Linked DNA regions of Medicago truncatula. The protein of the gene in region 2 interacts with the protein of the main gene of each other region in a pairwise test. Links are inferred from orthologs where the notes say so. Each region holds a gene or a part of one and is shown on either strand. Other genes may lie near its edges.

Evidence for each region.
Region 1: the proteins of auxin-responsive protein IAA30 (region 2) and protein ABSCISIC ACID-INSENSITIVE 5 interact in binary tests that used the Arabidopsis thaliana proteins (3 or more experiments, as listed by UniProt). The link is inferred for Medicago truncatula from reciprocal best matches to the Arabidopsis thaliana genes IAA30 and ABI5.
Region 3: the proteins of auxin-responsive protein IAA30 (region 2) and auxin response factor 5 interact in a two-hybrid assay, tested with the Arabidopsis thaliana proteins (2 studies listed by BioGRID). The link is inferred for Medicago truncatula from reciprocal best matches to the Arabidopsis thaliana genes IAA30 and MP.
Region 4: the proteins of auxin-responsive protein IAA30 (region 2) and probable WRKY transcription factor 21 interact in binary tests that used the Arabidopsis thaliana proteins (3 or more experiments, as listed by UniProt). The link is inferred for Medicago truncatula from reciprocal best matches to the Arabidopsis thaliana genes IAA30 and WRKY21.

Annotation. Positions count from the first base shown.
Region 1 is NC_053048.1:49,355,514-49,363,411, reverse strand, and holds the start of protein ABSCISIC ACID-INSENSITIVE 5, read right to left. Parts: upstream 3,088-7,898; 5' UTR 2,821-3,087; intron 978-2,820; 5' UTR 951-977; coding exon 1-950. UniProt on the Arabidopsis thaliana protein: Participates in ABA-regulated gene expression during seed development and subsequent vegetative stage by acting as the major mediator of ABA repression of growth.
Region 2 is NC_053042.1:42,203,181-42,210,120, reverse strand, and holds auxin-responsive protein IAA30, read right to left. Parts: upstream 1,890-6,940; 5' UTR 1,749-1,889; coding exon 1,567-1,748; intron 1,485-1,566; coding exon 1,297-1,484; intron 1,199-1,296; coding exon 1,099-1,198; intron 879-1,098; coding exon 818-878; 3' UTR 549-817; downstream 1-548. UniProt on the Arabidopsis thaliana protein: Aux/IAA proteins are short-lived transcriptional factors that function as repressors of early auxin response genes at low auxin concentrations.
Region 3 is NC_053042.1:7,849,120-7,857,115, reverse strand, and holds the start of auxin response factor 5, read left to right. Parts: upstream 1-4,951; 5' UTR 4,952-5,109; intron 5,110-5,249; exon of another isoform or gene 5,250-5,494; 5' UTR 5,495-5,519; coding exon 5,520-5,622; intron 5,623-5,740; coding exon 5,741-5,853; intron 5,854-5,994; coding exon 5,995-6,093; intron 6,094-6,191; coding exon 6,192-6,248; intron 6,249-6,354; coding exon 6,355-6,507; intron 6,508-6,592; coding exon 6,593-6,677; intron 6,678-7,050; coding exon 7,051-7,141; intron 7,142-7,415; coding exon 7,416-7,580; intron 7,581-7,671; coding exon 7,672-7,794; intron 7,795-7,893; coding exon 7,894-7,969; intron 7,970-7,996. UniProt on the Arabidopsis thaliana protein: Auxin response factors (ARFs) are transcriptional factors that bind specifically to the DNA sequence 5'-TGTCTC-3' found in the auxin-responsive promoter elements (AuxREs). Seems to act as transcriptional activator.
Region 4 is NC_053042.1:35,168,934-35,176,614, reverse strand, and holds probable WRKY transcription factor 21, read left to right. Parts: upstream 1-4,657; 5' UTR 4,658-4,904; intron 4,905-5,326; exon of another isoform or gene 5,327-5,330; 5' UTR 5,331-5,346; coding exon 5,347-6,158; intron 6,159-6,259; coding exon 6,260-6,385; intron 6,386-7,018; coding exon 7,019-7,163; 3' UTR 7,164-7,444; downstream 7,445-7,681.

The DNA.
Region 1 (7,898 bases), on a different chromosome or scaffold from region 2:
TTTTCGTTTCCAATCCCATCCGATGAAACCGGACTAACAGGTCCGCCCATTCCCATAGTTTGTGCCACTGCCACGCCATAACCGCCCGCTGCTCCATTCACCACTCTCCCTCCGTAACAAATAGCTGGCGGCGGCGGAGGATACCCCGTACCTATACTATCTCTCGTCTTACCATTCCCAACATACCCTGAACTCGAAGGTTCTCCAACTGCTCCACCTCCCTGTGCCACCGTTTGGTACGGTGGCGCAACAACGTTTAGATTCCCGCCGCCGCCAATAGCAAATGAAGCAGCCTGAGCCATTGTAGAGTTGTTGTTCGGATACACTGCGGCGTAATGCTGCTGCTGCGGCCGGTGAGATGACACTGCTGCTGCGGTAGGTGGTGGTGCTATGGCAACCGGCATACCAGACTGTTGTTCCCTAACTACCCCTGCTTTAACCAAGAAATCCTCCAATGTCATCTCGCCAAAAGTCGGCTGTCGAGGGGTAGACTCGGTATTCTGAGCAACATTGTTGATGTTGTGATGGTTCTGTTGTTCTTTGTGTATCTCAGACCAAACTTGTTCCACAGTTTTCCTGCAGAGAGGAGCAGGAATCGATAACGAATTTTGGCGAGGAAGACTTGCCTGTTTGCTAATCCCTTTCTGAGCTGCAGACAAGTTATTGTTGTTGCTGTTATTATTGTTGGATGCAGCTTGTTGTTGGTTTTCTTCTGCATTCCAAATACTACTTAGAAACTCATCCATGTTCATGGATCCGAAATTCTTGCCGCTATCACAGAGGCTGTGTTGGAACTCGTCGAGGGTGAGTGAGTATATGGATGAAGATTGCCTTCCGAGCGATGAAGAAATGACATTGTTGACGTCATTCCTGATCGCTTCTTCTCCTTCCCTTTGCAATGATTCTACCTCCCCTTGTTGCCAATTCATCTCACCTTCTCTTACCACCATATTCTTCTGCTTGTCTTATTTTCAGCACTGCACCAGACATTATATTTGTCAACACTCGTAACAAAAAAGCACATTAACAACATAATTATTAGATTAATAATACAATGTAATATGAAAAGACTTTTTAAAACACATCAATAATTTGTGAATGCAAGAATTCAAATCAATGCAAAGTTGATCAAACAAAAAACTTTGTTAACGACAAATAAGTCAACATAAGCTTTTTGTTAACAAAGAACCTTAACAAATGTTAGATTCCTTTGTCTCTTTCAAAAAAAAAAGTTAGATGCCTTTGTCAACGCATGAAAAAATGGACTGCTTCATGACAATAATACTACAATACAGCCAATTTGCTTATGTCATGTATTTAATAAGAACTTATAATATGCTGAGAAATTGTTGAGGGTGTATTGAGTAATGTTGAAATTGTAAATTTTAATTTCTTTTTTGGGGATGATTTATTTATTTTTTATAACTAAAAGACATCAAAATTAGAGCAAGTCTCAAGGTTGAAAGAGCGTTCATAGAAAATACTTATAAATTGTCCACCAACAAAATTCTTACACAATAAAAATTGAACTCACGCCCTTATAAAGTCAACAAAATTCTTACATTGACAATAAAAAAAATTGAACTCGCGCCCTTTAGAAAGTCTGAGCCAACTATTTACCAACTTGACCAACTTTTGTTGGCCATGAGGACCAATACGAATTTAAAATAATTTTATAAAGTGTATAAATAAATAGTTTTTTTTATGAGTTTTAAATATGTAAAATTATTTTGGGGTGGGGCTACACCTATGTCACACTCAATTCATTTTCCTTTTTATATAAAAAAAAAAAAAAAAAAAACAGTGTCAATAAGTTGGATTATTTTTTTCTCCCCTCCAACTCCCTCTATTATTTGGGTGCATTTCAAGATGCCTCTAATTCTAATTTAGATTATTTAATATTATCCAAACATGATCAATTGTTGGTCTTGATTCTCGAGTTCACTGAATTTCACATAGAAAATCCAATATTTGATCAGAACCAGCTCAAAAGTAAGCAGAAACTGCACCACCATCGCTCTATCAATGGAATAATTGAATATCGAAGCAACTACTACTTTTATTATTCGGTACAAAAAGAATGCTTCAGTGCAAAGAAAACTTCACACTTCAGATCTATTTATGACAACATATTATTTTAAAAAACGTAATTTACTTGGGATAATGTTAAATTTTATCAAATTAAATAATTTTTTCTGCTAAAAATGTTTTTTATTTTATTTTATATAATTATAGGTTGACAATTCTTAGGCACATAAAGTTGATTTACTCTTCCAACTAATTTTTCTATACTCTTCATTAAGTAGAAGAACTATCAAATTCAAAAGCACTTGATCCTATAGCTACCTTATAACTTGAATTTTATTCTAGAGAATAAAAAGATTCTTTATTCACATGCATTAAAAGTACAAGGGTTGTTTTTGGATGATCGGTTGAAAAACTATAATAAATTAAGTTGTGAGGAATATTTGGTGGGTGTAGAAAAGGATTGATGTTTGTACACAAAAGGAAAAGAATGTTGCCTCATTTGGAAATGATTTGGTGGCCAAATGAAGGAAGAGATAGAATAAATTAATCTATAATAACAAAATAGCATATTTAACTATCTACCAAATAAAATAAAATAAAAGCATATTCTCTAAACTACAAAACTCAAAAACTCAAATGCTTGCACTAATTAACGTTCAAAATTATAGGTAATCCAATGAAATCAAACCAAAAACGTTCACAAAGTTTCCATGCATATAACAAAATATAGAGAAATAGTATATTGATGAGATCATTATTTCCTTTGAATCAAACTTTTGGAGAGAAATATACCTGGAAATGCAAGTTGTAATGTTAAGCTCCTTTTGTCTCAATGTCAAAAGTTTTAGAGCTTACTTAAGAAGATAGTGAGGCTGAATAGTGAGCAAAGAGTGTGCTAAAATTATATAAAAGATTTTCCACAAACGAAAGACCTGCATATATAAGGATCGATTAGCTAAAAATTTAGTAACTATCTTCGTCCATTTCGTCTAAGGGTACCCCACAAAATAAGGCATAGAAATGAATAAAAAGAATGGATGAAAGGCCGCAATAGACAGAAGAAAATTCAGAGGGCAAGTTCCCGAGTTAAATCGCATGATTTGCCACGTATAGGGCAAGTGTCGTCTCTACAAACCTGTTTGGTTGCAGACATATTTTTAGCACAACACGTATCATCTCTATATTTTTATTTTCTAAATAAATAAAAATAGTACTGTTATGTATTATTTGGACCCTATATTTTATTTTTGGTTTTCGATGTAATCCTTTTTGAAACACTTTAAACTCTATATTTTATTACATGTTATATTTTTGTTAAAAAAGATACAACAAAACTATCTCGGAGAGGAAAAATGTTTCACTTCATTTTATCAATAATAAAATATTGAATACATCTATCCCCATGAGCTTAGCTCATTTGGTAAGGAATAATGCACAATATGTGCAGGGGACGGGGTTCGAATCCCGGACACCCCACTTAAAATAGTTAATGATTGTGTACTTCGTTAGTCAAAAAAGTTTCAGACATTAAAATATTGGCTTAAACTCACTTTTTGCCCCCTAAGTTTGCAAAAGTTGCAATTTTGGCCTCCTATTAAAAAAAATGGCAAAAACAACCCCCCATGTTTTCCCTCTTTTGCAAAACGTCGATTTTGACCGAGTCAACCATATGTGGCATGCCACTTGGGTATTTTTTTTATTTTTTATTTTTTATTTTTTTTAATCCATAAATTCCACATGTATAATTAAAGAAATAAAAAAAATAAAAAATTAAAATTAAGAAGAGAGGGCACGTGAGTGAATGAACATAACACCATTGTTGTTTCTTTTGTCCATAATGCTGGAAAGAATGCATTTTGCAAAACAAATTCTCCCACTTCTTTCTTCCTCTTCCTTCTTTCCTAACCAAAACTTGCAAATTATTAAAATTATCAACATTGAGGAGCAATCCATGAAAAAATGTAGCAGTTCATCATCGGCAACTGTCATAAGAAGCGTAGCTTCTGGAAAACAAACTGAAAACAATAGATTTAAATTCCGGCGCGGTGGTGATGTTTTCCGGTGTGGTGGTCGTCGGAAAAATGTCATCCAAGCATAATTTTTTGTGGGTTTTGTAGGGAATACGAAGGAGAGTACTTTTATTGTGGTAATTTATCGAAAAACGTTTTGTGGTGGTCTAGATCTAACAATGAAGGTGGTGGTTTGAAAACTCAAAATATCTCCAATCCAAAAATAAACTTATGATGAGATAGAGAAGGAAGGGTGAATAAATATTATGTATTTTGTTTGACAAAGGATGGTTGGAAGCACCACGTTGGGTGGCTGGAAAGAGTGGCCGGAAAAAGGGAAGAGGGAGGCGGCAATTAGGAAAGAAGGAAGAGGAAGAAAGAATTGGGAGGAAAAGAAAGAAGAGAGAGCATAGAGACTCTCTCACTCACGTGCCTCTCCATTTTTTTTCTTTTTTGATTTTTTTTAATTCAAAAGATACACGCGTGGCAATTTTAATATTTTTTAATTAAAAATTTACACATGTGGCATGCCACATATGGTTGACTCGGTCAAAATTGGCATTTTGCAAAAGGGGGAAAACATGGGGGGTAGCTTTTGCCATTTTTTTTAATAGGGTGCCAAAATTGCAACTTTTGCAAACTTAGGGGGTAAAAAGTGAGTTTAAGCCTAAAATATTGTGTTAATTTTGATACATATACTTACTTATTGTCATATCAATCCTTATAAATACTTATTTATTTATTTTTATCATTTTCGTCTATATATGAAAAAAGTTATTATGAGTATTGAGCGATTATTTTAGCATTAAAGTCTATTTCGATTAACAAAATACATCATAAGAAACTATTTAAAATTTTGATACATTAAAAGACTATTATGACTACTCTTTATACATTTAGGAACTAAAATAAATATTATCCAAAATATAATGATAGCACTGCGGATGAGTTCGCTGCTCCAATTAAGGTTTGAGCGACCATATTTATTTTCTGTCTAAAGAAGTCAATATAAGAGATTTTAAAATTATACAAAATTATGTTTGTGGTCCTTAAGTTTGACCTTATTTCAAATTGATATTTCAAAAAGAAATTCTTCTTAAACTGATCATTTCTATTACATTTTGTTTATGTTGTTAGCTTTTAAGTTATGTTTATCTTTTATTATTGGCCTAATTTTTGTTATATTTTGTGATTATTTGATTGATAATTTTTATTTCATAATTAGAGATGAACAACAATCAAATGTTCATTTTTCACACGTTATATTAGAGATGAATTACTCATTATTTTGAGTTTATAAGGATTTCAGATTTAGAAGTTTAGATTTAAAGAATAAGAAATAAACGGATAAAAGAAGATGGATACTTTTGTTTAAAAAAAAAATGACATGGTTAGAAGTCTAAAACGAACATTGAAATAATCACACATGAATTTGATGATAGGAAGCAAACAACCATATCGTTTCTAGATAAGCAGAGTGCATATATAGCACTTACTCATGGGTGGCCTTGAGGGTGGGCGAAAGGGGCGGCAGCCCGTGCACCATTATTTTAGAGGCATTAAATTTTTTAATTTTAGTTAGTATTTTTTTTTTTTGGTGGTCGAGATTCGAACCCCGGACCTTGCATGTATTATGCATTGTCCTTATCAACTGAGCTAAATTCACGAGGACATTTTAGTTAATAGTTAGTATTATATAGATATATTTCTTTTTAATTCGGTTTAATTAATTATAGTGAAAATATATTTTTAAAAAACTTTGATTATAAATGAATCTTTTGCAACAAAAAATGTAAGAAAAAAACTATTAAAATGATTAAAAAGACATAATTTTATTATTTCGTCCAAAGCATAAAAAATTTAAGGACCGGCCGCCCTGCACTTACTGTGAGGCAAACTGGTCTATATCTATTTGTTAAAGGGTTAATTAAGTTTTTGGTCCCTATAAATATCTGCAGTTTTGTTTTTAGTCCCTACAAAATTTTCCGTTAGTATTTTTAGTCCCTATTAAATTAAAATTTGTTTAATTATGCTTAAAATTTTAAATTTTTTAACGATTTTTTACATACTTGTTTAAAACATTATAAAAGGTTCCGCCACAATAATTTAGCTCAAAAATTTTATTTTTAGGTCCAAATTTTTCTTAGTTTTATATTAAATTTTTGGCGTTTTAAAAAAAAATTATATTTTATCGATTACATGTTAAATAATTCTAATTTTTTATAAAAGAGATTATTATAATGTTCTTAACATTTTTGTTAAAAATCATTTAAAAATATTAAAGGTTAAGTATAATTAAACAAATTTCAGTTTAACATGGACCACCATATACTTTTAGTCATTGTAAAATTAAAATTTGCTTAATTGTGCTTAAACTTTTAAATTTGTAACATATTTTTCACATACTTACTTAGAATATTATACAAAGTTCCTCCGCAAAAAAGTCACTTAAAATTTTATTATTAGGTCCAATTTTCATTAATATAATCTTGAAAATTTTCCTTTTAGAAAAATTCATATTTAGTTCATTACATGTTAAAAAAAGTAAAAAAAATTTACAAAAAAGTGTCTTAAGATGTTATAAACATGTACGTAAAAAATCTTTCAAAAATTAAGAAGTTTAAGCATAATTAAACAAATTTTAATTTAACAGGGACTAAAAACACTAACAGAAAATTTTGTAGGACTAAAAAGTGTAATTTATTTTTATAGGGACTAAAAACAAAACTGCATATGTTTATAAGGACCAAAAACTTAATTAACCTTAGTTAAATAATCTTGAGCTCACTAATACTGCTGAATCAAAAAAGTAATGTATTAAATAAGATAGGATCTCTAATATGCATTACAAGCTAGGCATGTTGGATATCCACATTCTATCTTGAGGGAGGTGTTACAACTTGTTAGCTGTTAGTTACTAGTATATTAATTCTGTTAGTTAATTAGTTATATTTGACGTTGTGTCTGTCTTTATTTTGTTCATTATTCAATCACAACAAGCTTCTTCTTTTTCTACGATAAATTACAACATGCTTATGCTTAGCTTGTGATACTTTCATATCTTTATTTCCTTTTTTAGTTTTAAGGTAACAGTCTTGATTTTTCATATCATTCATCATATACATATACATATAATATGCATGTAAATGTACTAAGACAGAAGTTCAAAAGAATACATTGGGATTTCTGCCTAGGCCCATTAATTAGTATTCAAGCATATGATTGATCGGTGTATTAATCAAAAGTTCAAACCAATATAATATACAGTTATATAACTTTTACATATTTAACGGAAACGTCGAACTAATTCTACTCTAATCCTCAATAGTTATATAAATCTATTTCTTAACTTTATGGCATGATGTGGGACTTCTTTCCGTTCTATTGGGTCTAGTTGGAACCAAATCAAATCGCCTCCTCCATGTAAACGTGCTCCTGAATGACTTTTATCGGTATGAAACTAGTTGTCCCTTAATATATTGCATTCGATTAAACATATGTTTGGATATATGGCCAAACTTTTAAATTTCAAGTTTCGAGACAAATTTTGTGGTGAAAAAATCAAAGCTACAAAATGTAGTTTATATTAAACCCATATCCTCGTGGTTCCTTTTTGGACTGGATCATCTCAAGTGACTGAGGAGTTTAGTGAAATCATGACCATTGAAAAAATAAAACATAGACAATTAAATGCAAAATTAGAAGAGATAAAGTGTTTAATAGTAAGTATTAGGGTTGACACTGCAGTAAACCGTAGAGATTTTCACTGCGGGGAATGCATTCCCGTTCCTTCCACCGCACAAACAAATATGTAATAAATAGGGACAAACTCGTGAGAAAAATCACAATTCAATATTTATT
Region 2 (6,940 bases):
TTTTTCATATCTTTAACCAGTGTCCCAAGACACCGGTTAGCATTTCCCATCTTTTTAAATATGATGACAATTTAAGATACTAGTATTTTATACAAAAAGTGTTCTTCCATACACACCTATCATAGATCAAGTTTAAAACCACATTTTTATGGGACAAAATTATTTGTCAAATAAAAAAAATTAATTTACGTGACATCTATTTACTTTACTACTTTTATCGACATTCTTTCTACTTATATTTGTCCCCTTTTTTGCTCCTCATTCCTGGCACATGACCTGCTCTAATTTTCAACCTTGGTTTCCTGTGTCTTCGTATATTTTTGTGCAATTATCCTTTTGTTTGTTGATTTTCCTTGTGGAAATGTGCAGAGAGGAACAAGATCTTAACAATAGAGAGATTATGTCGGCAACATAGAAGCCAAAAGTTGACTTCTAGAAACTTGAAATAAAGTAAAGTAAGAGGCGTGGACAAAAAGTATTTATGGTGTCTATATAAATTTATTCAATAGTTTCATAAAAGGATAAAAAAATTGACTAAATTTCTCATATAACCCTTCAAAACACTTCTTTGTTCACTTCTCTAATTTAAAATGGACCTAATATTAAAGGACTTTGCAAAAATTTAAATATTCAAATGAAGGATCACAAATTAATTAGTTAACCCTTCATTTTGGTTTTGTTCTCTTTCACTATCTCACACTTGCTAGTCCTCAAACATAATCTAAGAGTATCATCACTTTGGTTATCTCTTATCACTAAAATTGAGTCTCACTACATTTGACTAAGCTTGATCTTCAACAAATATATATGCTTTTGATTAAAACCCGAATGCATCAACCCTTGTGATCTTCAACCTCTTCACGGATGATAAGAACATCCTACATGACCAAAAATATAATGTTCTATAAGAACGTGTTTGAATTGACGATGAATTTGGTAAAATTACGGTAACTGTGATTTCTGGTTTGGCGACACTGATTTTGTTTAAGTTTCCAAATGAACTTGTGTCAAAATCACACTAAAATACCATAATTATGCCAAATTCACCTAAAATTAAAGTGGCTGAATTGTGAAAAAGTCATAGTTAAGTTAACTTACTCCCAAGGGACATCCCCAACCATAATCAAGTCTCCTTCTCCATCTTCATAAGTTAACACATGACATCTCTCTGATTGCACTCCATCCATTTCAGTCCCCCCTGGTGAAATAACAAAGTCACATTATTAATCCATCATTACTCATTTAACCAAACAAAGAAAGAATTAAAAATGCATAATGAGGGGGAATGGTAATTACATAGAATGGTAGTATCAAACATTTGTTCAAGTGTATTAACCAACTCATGATAGCCATTATGAGCTAGCAAATTGAGCTTTCTCCCAATTGGAATGCCTTCCATGTAAACCTTCACAAAGAAGGCACTGTTGTAATCACTGCAGTCATTTACTTCACCACCTTGTTGCTGAATTGGTTGCCAATGTCCCCTAACATGATAAATAATACAAAATTTAATAAAGTGATGACACAAACATAGTAGTTTAAGGTTCATGTTTTGCTTTAACATACCTTGAGGTGGAATAATCAACATATTGTTGAGTGGTGGAAATGCTCAATCCAAGGTTAAGATCAGGAAAAAGATGTTGTTGATCAGGATTTTGGTGAGTGATGGAGGATGAAACATTAGAGGAATTATGTTTCCTTCTTCTACTGTTGGAAGAGGAGGAAGAAGAAGTGGAACCTTTTCCCATTGTGGAAATGTAGAATTTGGTAAAGAATATTGTAGTAGTAAGAAGAATAAGCCGCCACCTTAAGGTTTAAATAATAAAGAAAGAAAGATATGAAGAGGACTTTTTCAGCAGCAGCTAGCGCCACCCAGCATACTCTTTTTTCTTGCTCCTATGCAATTTGTAGACCAAAAATGTTATCATGGTAGCCGACAATTATAGGTGTCAATAAATAAAGTGTACTATGGGCAATGAGTGTTTTTTTTTACTTACGAAAATTTAACAATATAATTAACTGTATAAAAAAAATATATGGTTATTTTTTGTATCTTAACATATCCTTTAACATATTTTCTCAAAAGAATATACGTTAATCTGGAGTTTAATTAGGAAATATAAACAATCTGACAAATCCTTAAAAAAAAAATCCAATAAATAATTGTTTTAATCAGAATTTAAAATCAGGAGTATGTTTGTTAAGGATTCAAAAGAATAAATGATTTAAAAATTTTATGTAAAAATTTAATGGTTCTTTTTTGAAATTTTAATGTGTTGAGATCATGATTTCAAAGAAAAAAAATTCTGCTTTAAATATCTAAACAAGTGCCCTAAGAGACATTTGTTGGCATTTGTCTGATGCTAAGTTTGTTAACAGGCTTCAAATATTAAAATCAAGGGTTCAAGATCTTATATGAAATCATAAGTTTAACTTTAGTAGTACTTCCTTTGGTCTTGTTTGTAAGGGGGGAAAAACATCATTTAAGAAAATGGGTTAAGTGCATTAATTAAGAAGAAAAAAAGACATTATTTCCGATTATATCCTTCTTGTGAAGTGTAGAATACTGCAATCATTAGTGAATTTAGAAAATGAATCAATATTTACTTTTAAGTGTAAAATTGGGATAATCACATCAAACATAGTAGTTAAGTAGACTTTTGCTTATATTTAAAAATATATATATATTGTTAAGAATATTTGAGACCGGAGGAAAAATATATCTTGATGGCATGTTTGGTGCACCAATATGATAAAATAAATTAGATATATTTCTAACTCAATCATACTCGTCCTTTGTTATTTTTATCTTTAATTTTTGGAGGGTTAGCAATCTGATAGGAAAAGACAAATCTCCACAAACAAAACACACTATCATCACTATTCTTCATATTCTCTGAAACTCCAACCAAAATTTTCTCCCTCTCTCCAATTGTGCCCTCCTTCTTCTTCTCTCGCAGTGTGCCTTCCTTTTTCCTCTCTCACTTTTGTGCATGCTTCGTCTGAACCCGATTTGTGTGTTCCTAATTTTTCCAAAACATTTTGCTTGTGTTCTCAATTTTTTTGTTCCTTCTACATCCGTGTATAATTGAGACTAGTTTGTTCCTTCCAATTTTCAGAACAAAACCCTTTTCGAAAGGCAATTCATTGCTTCAATTCCAAAACTTGTTTTAAGGTTTTTTCTAGATTACCTTTGAAGAATGGTGGGTAATTTACCCACCAACTAATGAAAATGAACAATTTGTTGGTGGGGTCAAGATAGTTCATGAATATCACTTAAAAATATGCTTATGTGGCTAATGTGTATTGGTTGGGATAAATTACCCACCATTCTTCCATGGGTACTCTAGTTGTCACCTTGTTTTAATCGTTGTTTAATTAGTTTTAGTTTGGGTCTGTGTGATTGAGAGATAAAACTATATAATTAATTTTATGTGTTGGTTTTGTCAATTAAAAATATGAAAAGTTGATTTTTTTTTTAAGAAGTTATTGGTTTTACAATGATAATTTTGTTATTAAATCTAATATATATCTTATCATATCGTTGTTATGTGTGTATTAAACAAATGAAATGAAAAAATAATACTATAAAGTTTATTATCATAAGTGCACCAAAAATATGATATGATATATCCTGTGAAGCCCGGATACGAGATACGATACGGATACGATACTGCACCGATACGTCGATACGGTAAAATTTCAAAAATCAAGATACGATACGGCTGAGATACGTTAATAAAAAAATTATATAATTAAATGTACTATATAATTATAACCATTTTTTTATTATGCAAGTATATTAACAAACACAAGAAACCAGACTCGTAGCACATTAATATAAATATAATATTGACGATTAAGAGAGTGGTCATTAGTCAATTACATACGCAATATATACCAAAATTAAGAGCACCATCAGTGTTATACATCAATGCTACACTATATCCAAAATGAACTTGTTAGTGATATACTATATCGATCCAAAAAAGAATCACTATATCCAAAAAAAGAACACATCAGTACTAAGAGTTAACACTAACAAGTAACTGACGTTTACATCTCCTCTCCTCCATTCCCATCATCAAGATACAGATCAACTTCCAAATCCGGTTCATCCAAAGACAACTCTGCTAACTCAATTCCAACACCATCAAGCGGTTCATGCGCATCTCCTCTAATGTCCCACATTCTTGATTGTCCTTTCTTATATCCACATTCTTTCCTTGACAATAGTCGAAGATTAATATGCACATAAACCAAATCTTCTACCCTTTTTGGATCCATTTTGTTTCTTTTCAAAGAATGGATAAAAGAGAAAGTACTCAAATTTCTCTCACAACAGGAGGAAGAACAAGGTTGCACAGGAAGCTTTAAAGCAAGCTTTTGGATAGTTCGACGGTGGCCAAAGTGGACGGCGACCACTTTGGAAGAAAAAGTTGAAACCCTAATTTCTTAGAAAGGGAAAGATGCAATTGGTTGTGTGGTGTGGTGTGGGTCGTACTGGCACCAAAGAAAGATAAAGGAAATATATATATATTATAGTAATATAATGTTTTTATTCTTATTTTTTACACAAAAAAAAAAAACAGAAATCAAAATAATATAAAAAAACACAAGTATCCGTGCGTATCGGGATGTATCGGAAAGTATCGGATAATTATTTTTTAAAAAAATAAAATTTAATATTTAGATACTCTCCGGATACGTATCGGAAAGTATCGGGCAGGTATCGGTGCAGGATACGCAGGGGATACGGTACGTCATCCATTTTGAAGTATCGGGGCTTCACAGGATATATCTCTATATTATCATCGTATCTTATTTTTATCCAGTTTCTTATCATATCATGTTTCTATTGTATCATGCGCATCAAACAGATCCTGAGTTAAAAACATAGAATAACTATCACATTTTCCTCCTAAAAGAAGTGTTGGTATCCACTTTTAACGTAGTTTTAACTCTTTTTTTTTTTAATTGTATCGTTTAATTAATATTATGTGCATCACTCAAAATGTCATAAATTATCCTTAAAAAAAATATCATAATTTTTTTTTTGTATCGTACATTGATGATAATGAAAATATACGCCGATGATTAGTAAAAAAAAAAAAAATTAGTTAACCGTCGTATTTGATAATGAAAATAAATATGGTTTTTTATTTCATCAATGATAATAATATACACCGATGATTAATAAAAATTCATTTATTTTTATTTCTTTAATGCGTATAAAATTATCAAATATGACGTTATTGTGAGACATAGGAGTTCAAGAGAAACAATAGTTGTTGTCAAAAAAAGTGATCGACAATAGTTAGACAGGGTGTGTGACCAGTAATATATAATGAGTCAATTCAAGGGCATAATTCATATTGACAAGAGCACATATATTGATAATTTGATATATCAAACCATACAATATACAAAGGTAGTAAAATCTATCTAATCAATGTTCAATGTAGTACCAATATATAATCATGGTATTGCTCGTGAGGGACCTTGGTTGCCGAGACCAAATGTACAAAAGTATCGGTAGAAATGAGGCTAAAAATATTGCTACGTACCAAAGAAAACATGTTGATGGGTACTCCATGAATGCCATGAAGTGGGTAGAAAATATGGGAACAGAATTTCTACATATGTTCTTTCACTCCTTTTCAAGAATTAACTATACCAGACAAAACATTTGTGATAGGTTGTTGTGTATATTTATTTCTCTTTTTCTTGTCGTTTTATTTTGTTTTTACTATTTAAGTTATGAATGAGTATAGTTTTTAGAGTAATATATCTCCCATTTATTAAAAAAAGAGTAATATATCTCCAGAAATTTGAAGATGATAAAGAACAAAATATTATGGTCAAATTTCGTGAACTGCGTGACAAAGGTGAATCTATTAAAGTATTAATGTCTTTTCTTTTCCTTCCACTGAAAAAAATGTTTTTTTTTCTTTCTTTCTTAGTTATAAAATGATGAGAAAGGGTCTTGGGGACAGGCAATCAACTCGATTTGATACCAACATATAAAGGAGAATAATTGAAAAAAGTTTCATTTAATACAACACATGTTAGAAACACACTATTTTTAATGTACACTACGTACGTACGTTTACTTTATTGTACAAAGAAACACTATTTTTAATAAATTCATGTTTATTTTAGTCCTTTGTTTCACATATTTATATTTATTAGATCCATCTCAGTATCTAATCTAATGCAATTTTCTTCACTCTTCTTGTGTCACATATTGCAATTGATATCATCATGTTCATTAGTACTAACAGGTGAAGTTTAGCATGGGAAAGACTAATTTTTCCCATCATGGGAAAGTTAGTTTTTAATCATTAGATCAAACCAAGAACACATCCTTATCATACTCCCTCATCACTAGATTTTGTAATTTTATTATTTTAAAACCATTTTTTAAAAACAAAAAATATATTTCGAAATTAAAATAAACATTTAAAAATAAAAAATAAACTTAATTTTGGAAATTAATTTTCCAAAATTTTAAAAAATATAAATAAACTTTTTGAAATAAACTTGTTTTCAAAAAAATTAATTATGATTTTCGAAGATTTAATTTTTATAATTTTCAAAAATTAATTTCCATATTTTTTTAGAATTTTTTTATTTCGAAAAAAATGTAAAACCTTACCTGAAGGTGAAATCGAGAATTCTTCAAAGTTTCGGAAAATCATAATTAAATTTGAAAATTACAAAAATTAAATCTTCGAAAATCATAATTAAATTTTTTGAAAACAAGTTTATTTATATTTTTTAAAATTTTGGAAAATTAATTTCCATATTTTTAAATTTATTTTTTATTTTTATATGTTTATTTTAATTTCGAAATATATTTTTTGTTTTTAAAAAATGGTTTTAAAATAATAAAATTACAAAATCTAGTGATGAGGGAGTATGGTAAGGATTTGTTCTT
Region 3 (7,996 bases), about 34 Mb from region 2:
TAACCATAATATTGTTTTCAATAGTTTCACATATATTTTTATTCAAAAAAAAAAAGTTTCACATATATTTAAAAAATTAATTCACCGTTAAAATATAGGTTAATTTTGATAGGTGTATAAAGTTTATAACATCTCTCGACAAAAAAGAAATTATAACATCTAATTCATCAACATTCTAGAAGTTTATTATAACAAGTCTCAAAATAATTTATAAATTTTATGTAGAATTTTTCGTTAGGGAAAGAAAAAATTGAAATGTTGAGCTAATATAAAAATATAAAACGGACTTATAAACAAAATCTTCATAAATGTAACTCAATTTGTAGAACATCTTATTATATATATATGATTTGAGGTTTAAATCCAAAATACTCTACGTATTTATTTTTGGAGATCATTTGATAAAAATAACAAATGAATCAAGTGTACAATGGTATTGTACATTGTGATGCTCTAGCAATTTTGCCAATTGTTGACTATGACGTTAATGGTAGTCTCACCAACTCGCCACATATATCTGCCAATTTTCAGGAGTGCTGCATCATTATTATTTCTCATTTATTTTGTTTTGACTCAAATGATCATTTTTTTTCATTTATTTCATTACATCACATCCATATAAAAGTTAGTTAAGATCCTATACATTTACCCTGCCTTTCTTCATTTCTTCCGTTTAAAAAGATAAAGACACGTAAAATTTAAAAAAAATTAAAATATAATTAATGATGGTGCAATCCACTTAATGATAGGATCCACAATCTACTATCTTTGTTCCTTTTTAATTGTCACATTTTGACATTTTATACAAACCAAGATAATCAACAATTGATACTACTTTTGATGCAATTAACTATACTTTTACTATAATGACCTTATTCATTTAACATTTATTTCATATATTTCTCTCTCCACAATAAATAACTAAGAACAATATTGATAAAACAACATCTAATGTTGCATTGAACTTTGAAAGTGACAGTTAAATAGGAACAAAAATTTTCTCCAAAAGTGACACTTAAAAAGGAATGAAGGGAATATTTTTTGTATCTCCGAATTGCATACTCTATTTATTTTGCCAAATGGATAGGATCTTACCATGAAAGTTGGGTTTAGAGTTTAGTCCAAAACATACTTAAAATGCAGTTTTTGTCCTGATTTTAATTTCTTGATTTGTAAATATAAAAAAATCGGGTGGCATTTCACATGGGAAAGGCCAATCCTTTCCTACCATGGGAAAGTTGGATTCAATGATTGGATCAAGTGAAGAACATATTCTTATCATGCTCTTTCAACATTAGATTTTTCTTCACACTATATACCAACAATTTTAAAAATTAATTTCCAAAAATTAAAAAAATCGAAAAAAATTCAGATATTTTTTTTTAAATTCTGTAATTTATTTATTGAATGTTAGAAAAAAATTTGAAAAATTGAAAATTTATTTATTTATTTTTCAATAAAAATAAAATTCTGGAAACTAAGATAAGTTTTTATTTTAGTAATAAAATGAGATATTCTGAAAAATAAAATAAAAATCCTTTTTTTTTTTTAAATTAAAGTTTTTTATTTTTATAATTAAATAAAATTCTGGAAAATAGTTTTTTTATTTTCAAAAAATATTATCTAATTTTTTGTTTTTATACTAAAAAAAAGTTTTATTTTGGAAAAAAACTTTTTAGAATGTTAGGAAAAAAAAATCTGATCCTTTTTTAATTCGGAATGGTAGTAAAAGTGTGTGCAAAAATCTAGTGTGAAGAGAGTATGATAAAATTGTTTTATTTATTTCATCTAATAGTTAAATACCAACTTTTCCATTTGTGAAATTGTCTTCGTCTCTGCCTCTAAGATCATCTCCAATTAGGATGTATGGATGTTTAAGTTGATAAATCTGCACTTTAATTTTTCAACCATCATGCTGCAAAATCGATAACATATAAATCGTTGAAGTATTTATATAAAATACGATATTATAAAATAACATTGAATATAGTAAAACTACCTGGTTTAGTTTGGATTTTAGAATGTGTTTCTTGTAAAGTCTTGTTTTGATTCTTCTTGTTCTTAGTTTTGGTGGATCGGTTTAGCTTTTTATTATTATTTTTTTTTTAAATAAAACATTGAATATAACTTAAAAAAAAATACTTCATCTGGTCTCGAATATAAGAAAACATTCATTTTTTAAGTTCATTAGATAAAAGATATATGTGATTTATATTATAGTTCAAATATATTATTTATTGAATGAACTTTAGAAAGAATTTTTTCATGTATTTGAGATCAGAGGGAGTATAAAACATGAGTTAATTAAGAGTTGTGTAATTTTTCTTTTTGTATTGGAGCAAAATAAGCATGATCCCATAAGTAAGATGTGCATTGAAGATCCAATTTTTTTAACGATAAAAATTATTTTGACAAATCGCACAATTAAAGATTATTTTAGAAATTCGACAATTTGAATGATTACTCGTTATCATTCAAGAACAAAAATGACAATTGTCTTAAATAAATAAATAGATGAGGTGTTCTTTGGTATCGATGTGATTTTAATAAAATCACAATAAAAGTTACTTCAATCAAATGCGTTATTAAAATTTGAACAATGATATTTGTGCATCATTACTTTCCATAAATCATTAAACACCTTAGGGTCTGTTTGGTAAAGCCATCAAACGAGCTTATAGCTTATAGCTTATAAGCTCGTTTGATAAAAAAAGCTCTGTTTGGTACTGTCTTTTCACCACGAGCTTATAGCTTATTTCACGAGCTTATAAGCTATTTTTCAGAAGCTATTCCAAGTAGCGTTTGAGCTTATAGCTTATAGCTTATCATCTTTTCTTTCATTTTTACCCTTATCATTTTAATTAAAACCCACTTTTACCCTTTATATATTAAAACACATTTATTACGTTTTCTATGTTTTTTTGTTCCTACGTTTCCAGTTTCTATATACTTCCAATTTAATTAGTACAACTCAACTACTCGAGTACTCTTCAAATAAAAAAAAACTACTGGAGCATATTTTTTGAGCATATTTTTCATATATTCATCTACTCGAACTTACTACTTTTAAGCATAGTTCATCATGTATGACGTTGAGATGTATGTTTTCAATGCTTTGTTACGATTTTTTTTTCTCTTGTAACAATTTTTGTTTTAAAATAAAATTATTTTTGAAAGAAATTTTTAAACTTGAATTTTTTTTGAAGTATAAAAATGGAAATGGAGTAAATTTAAAATAAAACTATAACAAAAAATTAATATTTTTTTGAAAGAGAAAAAATAATAATTTAATAATATATAAAATATATATTAAGAACATAATTTAATAATTTTATTAGAAATAAAAATGTCCTTTTATGTCATTTTACATTTATCAGCTAGTTTTACCAAACACTTTAATCAGCTTATCAGCTATCAGCCATCAGCTATAAGCTATCAGCTAGCTTATAAACTATCCGTTATTTTTACCAAACAGAGCCTTATTGTTTGTCTATCTTTCCTTTTCTATCTCGTTAACAATATATCATATCTATCACATCACTTCTTTTTATCTTTTTCACAAGATGTCAAATGGTTTTGGATGTACACCAATATTTTTCCTTCAAATTTTGTGTGATACACCATTATACCAAGTACTCACTCTGGTCACTATTATAAGCAAAACTCAACTTTCTAGATTCATTCAATAAAGGGTTAATATGCCTTTACCCCTGTAATATAGATCACTTTTGGTTTTGCCCCCTGTAAAATTTTCTTTTTGGAAAACCCCATAGGCTAGCTGACTCTGTATTTTCGTAGATGTGGCATGTTGCATCACTTTTTTTGGATGACGTGGCGCGCTGACTGTATAATTTTTTTTATGGGGTACACGTGGCATTTATGATTTTAAAAAAATTCTTAATTTTTTTTTTAAAAATGAAATAAATTCTGGAAAAATTAAAAAAATCTAGAAAATTTAATTTAAAAAATATGGAAAAATTAATATAAAACAAAATTTTCAAAAAAATTATAAAATAAAATCGAAAATATATTATTATAAAATTCTAGAAATTAATTCTGAAAATCAAAATAATTATATAATAATATAATTTCGATTTTTTTATAATTTTAATTTAATTCAGATTTTTTTATAATTTTTTTGAAAATTTCGGTATATATTAATTTTTTCATTTCATATTCTCAAAGGAGTAAAAATATTAATTAATGTATCTTTCTATGACATTTCATATTTTTATGTTACTTCAATTGCAAATTTAATCAGCTAACGTGTTTGTTATATGGTATATATGGTATGATGAAGTACGGACACTGACACGAACATCAGACACGACACGAACACTGACACATTAACACAAATAATAATTTTAAAAATGACATAATTTAGTATAATTATAGACATCATATCTGTGTCAAATATCGACACGTATCCGACATGAGGAGTTAGGACACACCTAATTCAAGAATGTCCCTACCTCATAGGTTATATGTTATAAAATCACCACCAAACCAACCAAAATAAGTTTAATACTTTTATAAGATCATCCATTATAAACTAATTTATAATCTATTCACAATTTTTACTAAATAGAGGTTATACATATACTAACTAGGGGTCCCAATGGTATATTAATTACCCTTGCTATTATATTTTTGTTCAGAAAAATAAATGTACTTGTGTTTATTCAGAGAATAATAAAATAATAATGTTTGTTGCAGTTGCAAGTACTTGATAGCGTGTAAGTATTGTACTGTTTCTGACTTCTTTATAGACACATTACATTACTTTTGCGTATATAGCTCTGCTTTCCCTATTTCAATTTATTAATAATATACTCTATTATTATTCTATACTATAGTACAGTACTATTCTACTAGTACCATTTTCTTTACCTCTTAATTATTTTTTTCATAAATATAAATACTATAATATAATAAAGCTGCAAGGGTTAGAAGTTGTTGTTGGAAGTAGCATGCACACTGCTTCTTGCTGTTTGAAGCAAAGAGAAAAAAGAGAGAGAATAGAAAAAAGTGCTTTGAGAATTGTAAAGAAAAAACAAAGAAAGAAGGCACTGTTTCAGAGTGTGATGTGATGAGTGGTTTCACTCAAAGGTTGGTTTCTTTTTTATATTTAAAGATAAATAAAAAACCACTCATTATGCTTTGATACGCGTGCTTTGATGCAAACTAATGAAAGTTTTTTATTTTTTCTACTTTTCTTTTTGTCAAAAGATTTGCACTTTGACCTTTTTTAGCAGTTTTTGTTCCTTAGTTCACTCTTTTTCACATTACTTGGATTGTTTTGTTTTTCTTAGACAAACAACAAAATGAGATTCTCATGTTAAGAATTTAAGAATATTAATGATGATGATCAAAATGGACCCTTGTTCTTGTTTTGTACTACCCTTTTGTTTCTTCTACTTTTCTCTCTCAAGTCAATACAAGTTTATTCCTCTTTATTGTGTTTGGTGGTGATGTTGCATGTTGTGAATTGAAGACTAAGATAGTGGTGAAAGTGGAACATGGCTTCCTTAGACGAAAAGGCTAAAAGTGTTGGAGGTGTTGTTGGTGGTCAAACTCTTGTTGCTGAAATGAAGTTGCTCAAAGAAATGCAAGAACATTGTGGTAAGTTCATGTTTCCTTCTCTTTTTCTTAATTTTTACAATGTTTATGTTATATGTTTTCTTAGTAGAAATTGAGATTTTGCTTTGATTGATATTTGGTTTTACTAATTTTTGTTTAGGGGTTAGAAAGACATTAAATTCAGAATTATGGCATGCTTGTGCTGGTCCTCTTGTGTCTTTGCCTCAAGTGGGGGGTCTTGTCTATTACTTCCCTCAAGGACATAGTGAACAGGTAACATTCAAACTCAAGAATCTCTTTTTTATGCTTTAACATTTGTAAGTGCTAGAATTAGCATGATTCTAGGTTTCTATTGAATGGTTGAAACATGTGTTGAACTTTTTTTTTTTTTTTTTTGTGTTTTGTCTTTTTAAGGTTGCAGCTTCTACTAGAAGAATAGCAACCTCACAGATTCCAAACTACCCTAGTCTTCCATCTCAGTTGTTGTGTCAAGTACAAAATGTCACACTACATGTAAGTAGTGTTCTCTCTTGATTTACCACTTTTTGCTTAACCACTCATTCAAACTTCAAATTATCATAACCCCTTTAAATTGTATGTTTTGATAACAGGCTGACAAGGAGACAGATGAAATCTATGCTCAAATGACTCTCCAACCACTGAATTCTGTAAGCTATATGAATTAGTTAGTTCTAGAATTATTGTTGTTGTTATTGTACATCTAAATGTTATTGGTTATGATTATTATTGATGTATTATTTTCCATTTTTTTAGGAAAAAGAAGTATTTCCAGTATCTGAGTTTGGACTAAGCAAAAGTAAACATCCAACTGAGTTTTTCTGCAAAACTTTGACTGCCAGTGATACTAGCACACATGGTGGCTTTTCGGTTCCACGCAGAGCTGCGGAAAAGCTATTTCCTCCATTGGTAAGGCTATATTGCACTAGGTGGTTGCAACCTTCTTTTATGGCTGTACAAGAACCCTCATTTGATTAGTGTGTTTTGGTTTTAGGATTACACAATTCAACCCCCAACTCAAGAACTTGTTGTTCGAGATTTGCATGATAATACATGGACATTTCGACATATTTACCGAGGTGAGGATGTTTTCTGCATCTATGTAGCACCTAGCATATACACTTTAGATTAATGGTGTGTCCGGTGTATGATATGTGTGTCAGAATCGGTCACCGACACATGTAGTTACATTCAATTTTTTTCACGTTTTCTAATTATTGTCAGTGTCGGTTTCATGTGTGGTGTTCATATCTGTGTTTCATAGTTCTACCATGTCTATTGGTTTGGTAAAATATATAGGAATAAATGTTTGTGGCCGTGGATTACATATTGTATTATTTTAACTGCAACTTTATACTTCCTCTTGGCTGATCTTAACCTTCAAAATATTTAGTCTTAAAAGAGCCTGATTGGGTTAGATCCTTACATTTCTTTCCTACATTTTTCATGTAGGTCAGCCGAAAAGACACCTTCTCACAACGGGTTGGAGTTTGTTTGTCGGCTCAAAAAGGCTTAGAGCAGGCGATTCTGTTCTTTTTATCAGGTAAAATTTGTTTGCTTCATTTTTGTCAAGTAGCTTCAACATGATACGAAACTCTGTTATTATCTGAATATAGGTAGAATAACTAGTGTGCAGAACAAAGTCTGCATAATCTTTCTAATTAGACTTGTTTTTTCTCCATGGTTACATTGCAATGTAATGGTTTTCAATATTGGGAAAATTGTGGAAGTCGGATTAGCAACTTATTATTTTAAATTCTGACCAATAATCATCTTCACATAATTTAATACTAAGTGTGATGTGTCATTGTTACAAGGGATGAGAAGTCGCAACTGCGAGTTGGTGTAAGGCGTGCTAATCGTCAACAGACAACACTGCCATCATCCGTACTTTCTGCTGATAGCATGCACATTGGTGTGCTTGCTGCTGCAGCTCATGCTGCTGCTAATCGAAGTCCGTTCACGATTTTCTACAATCCAAGGTATACCTAAATATGTTTATACCTCACCTGACATTAAATATTTTTAGATCTAATCTTGGTACTAATATTGTCTGGAGTGTACTATTTGCAGGGCATGCCCTTCAGATTTTGTTATTCCACTAGCCAAATACAGAAAATCTGTCTATGGGACTCAGCTGTCAGCTGGCATGAGATTTGGTATGATGTTTGAGACCGAGGAATCGGGTAAGCGCAGGTAATTTCCTGAATTCTTCTGAACTGTTTTCTGGGATATGTGCAAACTCCTGAACTAACAAGAATAGTTGATATATATATATTTCTTCTTATTCTGCAGATATATGGGTACAATTGTAGGTATCAGTGATGTCGATCCTTTAAGGTGGCCTGGTTCTAAGTGGCGAAATATTCAGGTAGGTTAAGTTCTAGTAACCCCAGTT
Region 4 (7,681 bases), about 7.0 Mb from region 2:
AAATATTAATGTTATAGTGAGTCTTGTATTTCACTAATCACACGACTCAATATGGTATTATAGTCTTTTTAGTATAGACCAATGGTTTGATCCGATTAGAAGATACCTTGTGGATGTTGCAAAGGTATACCAATCATAATAAAGAGATGAAGTCCAAGAAACTTGGGGAAATTATGTCTCGATCACATGACAAAGGTTATTTTTTCATGAAGAGCGAAGTTGTAAAGTGTAAGGAGTCTCAAACGCATGTGTCCCGCTTGTAAGTCTAGTGAGCAACGTGCAAAATGAAACATAGTTCAAATGTGTTAGCCTCAATCATGTGCACGACATGCGTGCTTTTGTGTGCAACATGCACATTTATCATTTAGCGAGACGCGCAACGCGTGTGATGTTGTACGGGGTGCGCATGTATAATGTAAAATCCGATTTACTTAAGCAAGCACTCGCCTAAATAGAAGGGTTTCAAATTTTGACGATCCATAGACATAAAGTGTGATGTCATTGACCTAAAGTGGAAATTTCCATCCCTTGTCAACAAGATTGAAGACCTTTGCTATTCTATTTGTGTGTGTAGCTCTTTAACCTTTTGATTATGTTGTTTATTAATATGATAAGTAGCTAAACTCATTAGATTTAGATTTAATGATGAACTTGTATGATATTGTTTGAACCATATAATCTATAAGTCCTCTGTTAAGGTAATTTGAACTATGCTTCTTCATTATACCTTGTGGTTATATGCTTTCATTGCATGATAAACTCTAATTGATTTTAGCTTAAAATATGGTTTTAGTCCCTGCAAATATGCCTCGTTTTTGTTTTAGTCCCTGGTAAAAAAAAAATTGTTTTTGGTCCCTGTAAAATTTTTTGTTTTTGAAAATAGTCCCTCCAGGGACTATTTTCAAAAACAAAAAATTTTGCAGGGACCTTTTTTAAAAATAAAATATTTTGCAGGGACCAAAAACTATAAAATTGGTTCAGTTATAATGTGTCACGTATGCAAATCATCACAAAAGTGGGGTCAGGGACTATTTTCAAAAACAAAAAATTTTGCAGGGACCAAAAACAAATTATTTTTTTACCAGGGACTAAAACCAAAACGAGGCATATTTACAGGGACTAAAACCATATTTTAGCCTTAATTTTATGTTGTAATTCATTATTACCACTAGGTCTTGTAACCGGAACTAGGCACAATGTTCTCTAACTAATTTATATAGATATAGGGAATTAATTAGTGCGGCTAATATATTAACGCTTAATCAAACTTTTGATAATATCAATTTCACCTAAGAAATTAGAGTTTTATATTATAGAAACCGTACCTTGAACCAAGAATTTGATCTTGGTCTATTTTTTAAATTGTCATGAGCAAAGGTATCAAATTATTTTTTTGTTTAGGACCTAGCATTACCAAGCAGGAACATAAAGAGGATTCAAACCATCTTAAGCTCCTGTCATCATTCTGAATTAAGTATTTATTTAATTTGATCTGCAAACCAACTATGAATGCAAACACCTCCATTTTAATTTTTAAATAAACATAGTTTAATTGCCTATTAGAAACAACAATTCATGTGGATATGAATCTCTACATATATTATTATTTGACGATGCATTTAGTACATTTGTCAAATAAGTCCATCAATAGGCTAAGTTGACTACATTAGTCTACATCAAGTCTAAGTCAGGCCATACTTCTTTGAAAATAGACAAGATGAAGATTATCTTTTATATCAAACAATAATAACTTAAGAAATCACAACCTTAATTGTAATCCTATACACTTCAAGTCTAAGTCAGGCCATACTTCTTTGAAAATAGACAAGATCAAGATTATTTCTTATATCAAACTCGTCGAACAATCAAACAATGATAACTTAAGAAATTACAACCTTAATTGTAATCCTATACAATCACAACCTATCAACATGTTTATGTATGTGTTGATTTAGTTTCACAAATTTTTTGAATTTACATTCATTATATCGTGATGCATGTAACATACTTTACGCGGCTCTAAAAAAAAATGTAACATACTTTAAGCATGTTGGTTCAATTTCACAAAATTTTGAACCCAGATTCATTACACAATGACATATGTGACAAATTTTCAACGCATGAATGCAATGTCACAAATTTATGAGCTCACGTTCATGGATTTGAGAGAGAGGGGGGGGGGGGGGGGATATCAAGTGAGAGATAGACATAACTTGATGAAGGAGGGAGAAAGAGACAATGAGGGGAAAGGAGAGGATCCAATCTCGATTTGCACATTCATCTCACTGAAAAATATATAACCGTTTTAAAACGTATTCACAAACAAATAATACTTGAAAAAAATTCAATAGTATAGGCTAAGCATGACTATTACTATTTTACCAATTTCTAAAATATTAAAAGTTTAAATAAGAATTCATACTATATTTGGCTATAAATATAAAAAGAAATATCAAATGTATTTTGTTTGAAATTCGGTCTAAATATATTTGACTATTTACAATGACCTATGATTTTAAGTGTGTTGGTTCAATTTCACAAAATTTTGAATCCACATCCATTACACACTGATGTATGTGATAGGTATTGAACACGCCACAAAGTTTTGAACTCACATTCATCTCACTGAAATATATGTAAATGGTTTTAAACACATTCACAAACATATAATACTTGGAAACAAATTTAATAGTTTGGCTAAACATGACTACTAATATTTTACCAATTTCTAAAATACTAAATAGAGAAGTTTAAATAGGAATGCATAATCTCTTTTGTTATAAATATACGGGGGAAAATCAAATGTATTTAGTTTAAATTCGGACTAAATATATTTGACTATTTACGGTGACCTATGTAACAAGTTTTAAGCGCGCTAGCACAATTTCATAAAATTTTGAACCCATATTTTGAACGCGTGTATTCAACATAATAATTTTTTGAACTCACGTACATCTCACTGAAATACATGTAACCGATTTTAAACGTGTTCATAGAAAAAATTATTCACTAGTATATGAAAGGCATGACTACCAATATTTAGCCAATTCTTACAATATTAAAAAGAGAAGTTTAAATAAGAATTTATAATCTCCTTTGTTATAAATATACGGGGAAAAATCAAATGTATTTGGTTCGAAATTTGGACTAAATATATCTGACTATTTACAGTGACATGTGTAACAGGTTTTAGGCGCGTTGGCTCAATTTCATAAAATTTTGAACCCATATTCATTACATTGTGGCGTATATGGAAGATTTTAAATGCGTGTTTTCAACATAATAAATTTTGAACTCGCATTCATCTCACTGAAATACATGTAACCGATTTTAAACGCCTTCACATACACATAATACATGGAGGAAAAAATTCAGTGGTATGCTAGGCATGACTACTAATATTTAGCCAATTCTTACAACATTAAATAGCAAAGTTTAAATAAAAATTCATAATCTCTTTTGTTATAATTATACGGGAAAAAATCAAATGTATTTGGTTCGAAATTTAGGTTAAATATATTTGACTGTCTGCAGTGATCTATGTAACAGGTTTTAAGCGCGTCGGCTCAATTTCATAAAATTTTGAACCCGCATTCATTACTTTGTGGCGTATATGGTAGATTTATAACGCGTGTTTTCAACTCATTGAAATACATATAATACATGGAGGAAAAAAAATTCACTAGTATATGTTAGGCATTACTACCAATATTTAGCCAATTCTTACAATATAAAACAGAGAAGGTTAAATAAGAATTCATAATCTCTTTTGTTATAGATATACGGGAAAAAATCAAATGTCTTTGGTTCAAAATCGGGTTAAATATATTTGACTGTACATAGTGACCTATGTAACAGGTTTTAAGTGCGTCGGCTCAATTTCATAAAATTTTGAACCCGCATTCATTACTTTGTGGCGTATATGACAGATTTTAAACGCGTGTATTTAACCTAATAAATTTTTGAACTCACATTCATCTCACTGAAATACATGCGTGTAACCGATTTTAAACGCGTTTACAGCACATAATACATAGATGAACAAAATCACTATATTTAGCCAATTTCTAAAATACTAATTAGAAAAGTTTAAATAAAAATGCATGCACTCTTTTGTTATAAAAAAAAATACGGTTGGTTCAAAATTCATATTAAATACATTCGACTTTTTACTTTATATTTAAAATTGATTAAAAAAATTAACCTTAGCCCATTCAAAATTTTGTGAAAGAAATTAAACTTAACCAGTTTACTAGTTTACTCCAGTCAAGATAAACTTACTTTTGAACATTGAAAGAACACATCATATAAGGTAAATCCAAAACTATTTTTTTTTTAAGGAAGGTAAATCCAAAATTTCAAACCAATAAAAAAAATCAGAAACACAGTGTAATAAATTGAATCAAGAAGTAAAAGTAGTAAAAGTGAAGCTGAAATGGGTAGGTCTAAAAAAATATTAATTAAAGCTGAAACAAGGGAAGAAAAAGAATAACAAAGGTCTTCATGTCGGTCCCACCTTCAAATCTGTGACAGAGACAGCAGTTTCATTTCTCAAGCTGTTTCTCATGCTCTCTCTCTCTCTCTCTTCTTGTGTGTGTTTTTTTCTTATTTAAACTCTTAACTCATCTTTTTTTCCCCTCTCTCTCTCTCTCACTAGAGTATAGCTACAAATATAAAATTGTTTTATTTTTTGCTTGTTTCTTAGGACTTTTATTTATAAATGTTTTTAGTCTAAAGTTAGAACCTTTGTATTCTTATGTGTGTGTGTGTGTGTGTGTGATGGTTGTGTGAATTCTCAAAGAAACCAAAGTCCTCTCTTCACACCTTCAATCTCAAACCCATGGAAACATCAACAACAACAACAGCAACAAGATTCTAGGGTTTGACAACACAAGTTCATCAAGGTTTGTCTGCACTTTGATATTTTTTTGTTGGTTTTTTTTGTCACATGAAAATTGGGTCTTTTTTTATTTTTTTTTATTTTTTATCTTTGGTCTTTTTAATGTAATGTTGAAAGGCACTATTAGTTGATTCTGATTCATGGGTCTTTTTTGTTTCAAAAAAAAATTCAACCTTTATCTTCTTATGAACTGAAATTTTGTAACTTTAACTAAAAATAAAAATCCTATTTTTGCGGTTCATTGTCTGGTGAAAAATGGGATTTTTTTCATCTGGGTATTTTTATCTTCCACATGAGAATCAATGTCTGATATATTTGTGGATAAATGAGATGCTTTCTTTGTGTTTTGGTGTGTTCTTCTTTTGATTTAGGGACTTAGTTTTTTTTTTTTTTTTAAATATTTTTATTTTCTGAATTTTGTTATAGATAGAAAGAGAGAGGCTAAAATGGAAGAAGTTGAACAAGCAAGCAGAACAGCTGTTGAAAGCTGTCATAGAGTTCTAAGTATGTTGTCTCAACCAAGGGATCAAGTTCATCATAGGAATTTAACTGTTGAAACTGGTGAAGCTGTGAATAGGTTCAAGAAAGTTGTGTCTTTGCTTCATGGTTTGGATCATTCAAGAGTTAGGAAGCTTAAAAATCTTCAAAATGTTCCTTATCCTCAAACTGCTTTCTTAGACAACCCAAATTGCAAAAGAAACATCATCAACCATCACACCAAAAATGTTCACTTTACTCAAACTACCTATCCTCAAAATTCAGTTCAGGAACTTGGTTCAACCCTAAGAAATCCACTTTCTCTTGGAAACCCTTCTTTGGAATTGAGTTCGAACGGGAAAAGTCCGCTTCACCTTGCTCAACAAGCTGCATCAACTCACTATCAATTCTATCAGCCGCAGCAACAGCATCATCACCAGCAGCAGCTGCAGCAACAAAGGTTGTTGATGCAGCAGCAGCAACAGCAGCAACAAATGAAGCATCAAGCTGAAATGATGTTCCGAAGGAACACCAGCGGCATAAGCCTTAATTTTGACAAGGCTACTAGCAGCACACCAACAATGTCGTCTACTAGGTCTTTCATTTCCTCCTTGAGCATAGACGGAAGCGTAGCAAACGTTGATGGAAGTTCCTTCCATTTGATAGGAGCTCCGATCTCTTCAGATCAGAATTCACAGCACAAGAGGAAATGTTCTGCTAGAGGTGATGAGGGAAGCTTGAAATGTAGTAGCAGTTCTAAATGTCATTGCTCAAAGAAAAGGTAATTCTTATGGTTGCTACATTAATGGTTAATTTCTGTTACTTTAAAGGTTTAAGAAACCATTATAATATCATATTAATAACTTTATGTGTTCTTGACAGGAAGCATAGAGTGAAGAGATCAATTAAGGTGCCTGCTATCAGCAACAAGCTTGCGGATATCCCTCCTGATGATTACTCGTGGAGGAAGTACGGGCAGAAGCCTATCAAGGGCTCTCCTCACCCTAGGTATGCCCAACCGTTGTGCCATTTGAGATTTAATTTTATTGATTCAAGGAGCAAATAAATATGAATGTGTTGTGATAAACAATAATTTTATAAAACTTCTGAACTATTTCGTTACGCTGCTTGGTGTACATTTATGATTTTATCTTAAAGTATGTTGACATGATCTGATTGATGTACTAGCCTGTGGGGATTTAAATAATTTTGGTCTATGTGTGGATATGTAATATGTTGATTGGAGTTCTGCTAATATATTCCTTTGTCCATGTTTGTAATTTGTTCTTAGTTGGTATTCTGGTTGATGAGTACGTTGTATAGAATTTAAGTCGTTGAGAAGGTCCTTGAATGTTTTTATGCACTGTCAACTTGTAGCTCTTCATTTTTTCATTACAAATATCATATTGACAGTTCCATTTGTTCAATAGCCCCTTTTTTTTAACTTGAAAACATGTTTGAGAAATCAATTTGGCAATTTTGATATTCTAGGTGTAAACTCAATCTTAACCTTAGTAGCAAAATTTATGCTTCATTATTTGCACATTATTGTCAATTAAATGAAGGTGAAATGTGAACTACAACTCTACAAGTTTTATGTGTGATGAAACTGATTGTAATCTCTTAATTTTGTTTCTTCAGGGGCTATTATAAATGCAGCAGCATGAGAGGCTGCCCTGCTAGGAAGCATGTTGAGAGGTGCTTGGATGAGCCTACTATGCTAATGGTTACCTATGAAGGCGAGCATAATCACGCCAAGGTACCAACACAACCTGCAAATGCATGAACTACATGGAGAGTCACATTCAATTTGTGAAGACCTCTATGTGATTGGCTTGAGATGTTTCTGTACATATTTCAAGTGATGCGAGCAGGACTGCAGATTTTGCCTTTTGGGTAGCTTGGTTGGGGAGTCGTTTATTTAGAGGGAGTGATGAAGATCACTGGTTAAGTGCAGGAGTATGTAAAATTGGATAGTTTCAATTCGTAAGAACAATTTTATTTTTCTTAAGTATGTCATTAAACATTTCAGGGTTCTCTAAATTAATGGAAATTGTCTTTGGAAAATGGCTGAGTTCTTTCAATTTTGTTTTTCGAATCAAGGCTCTAGCAAATTGATTGTCGTAGTGATACATCACAGCAATTGATTCTAGTAACTATAAGTATCACATAATCTAAGTGGCATATACATAGTATGGTTATCTTTGGGTGTTAAAACAGCTTAAGCTAGTTGTTGCGTTTGGAAAACATACTTTCTATAGTGTTATTGCTGCACATTCAATGTGAAGCTTCCTTTTGTAGAGG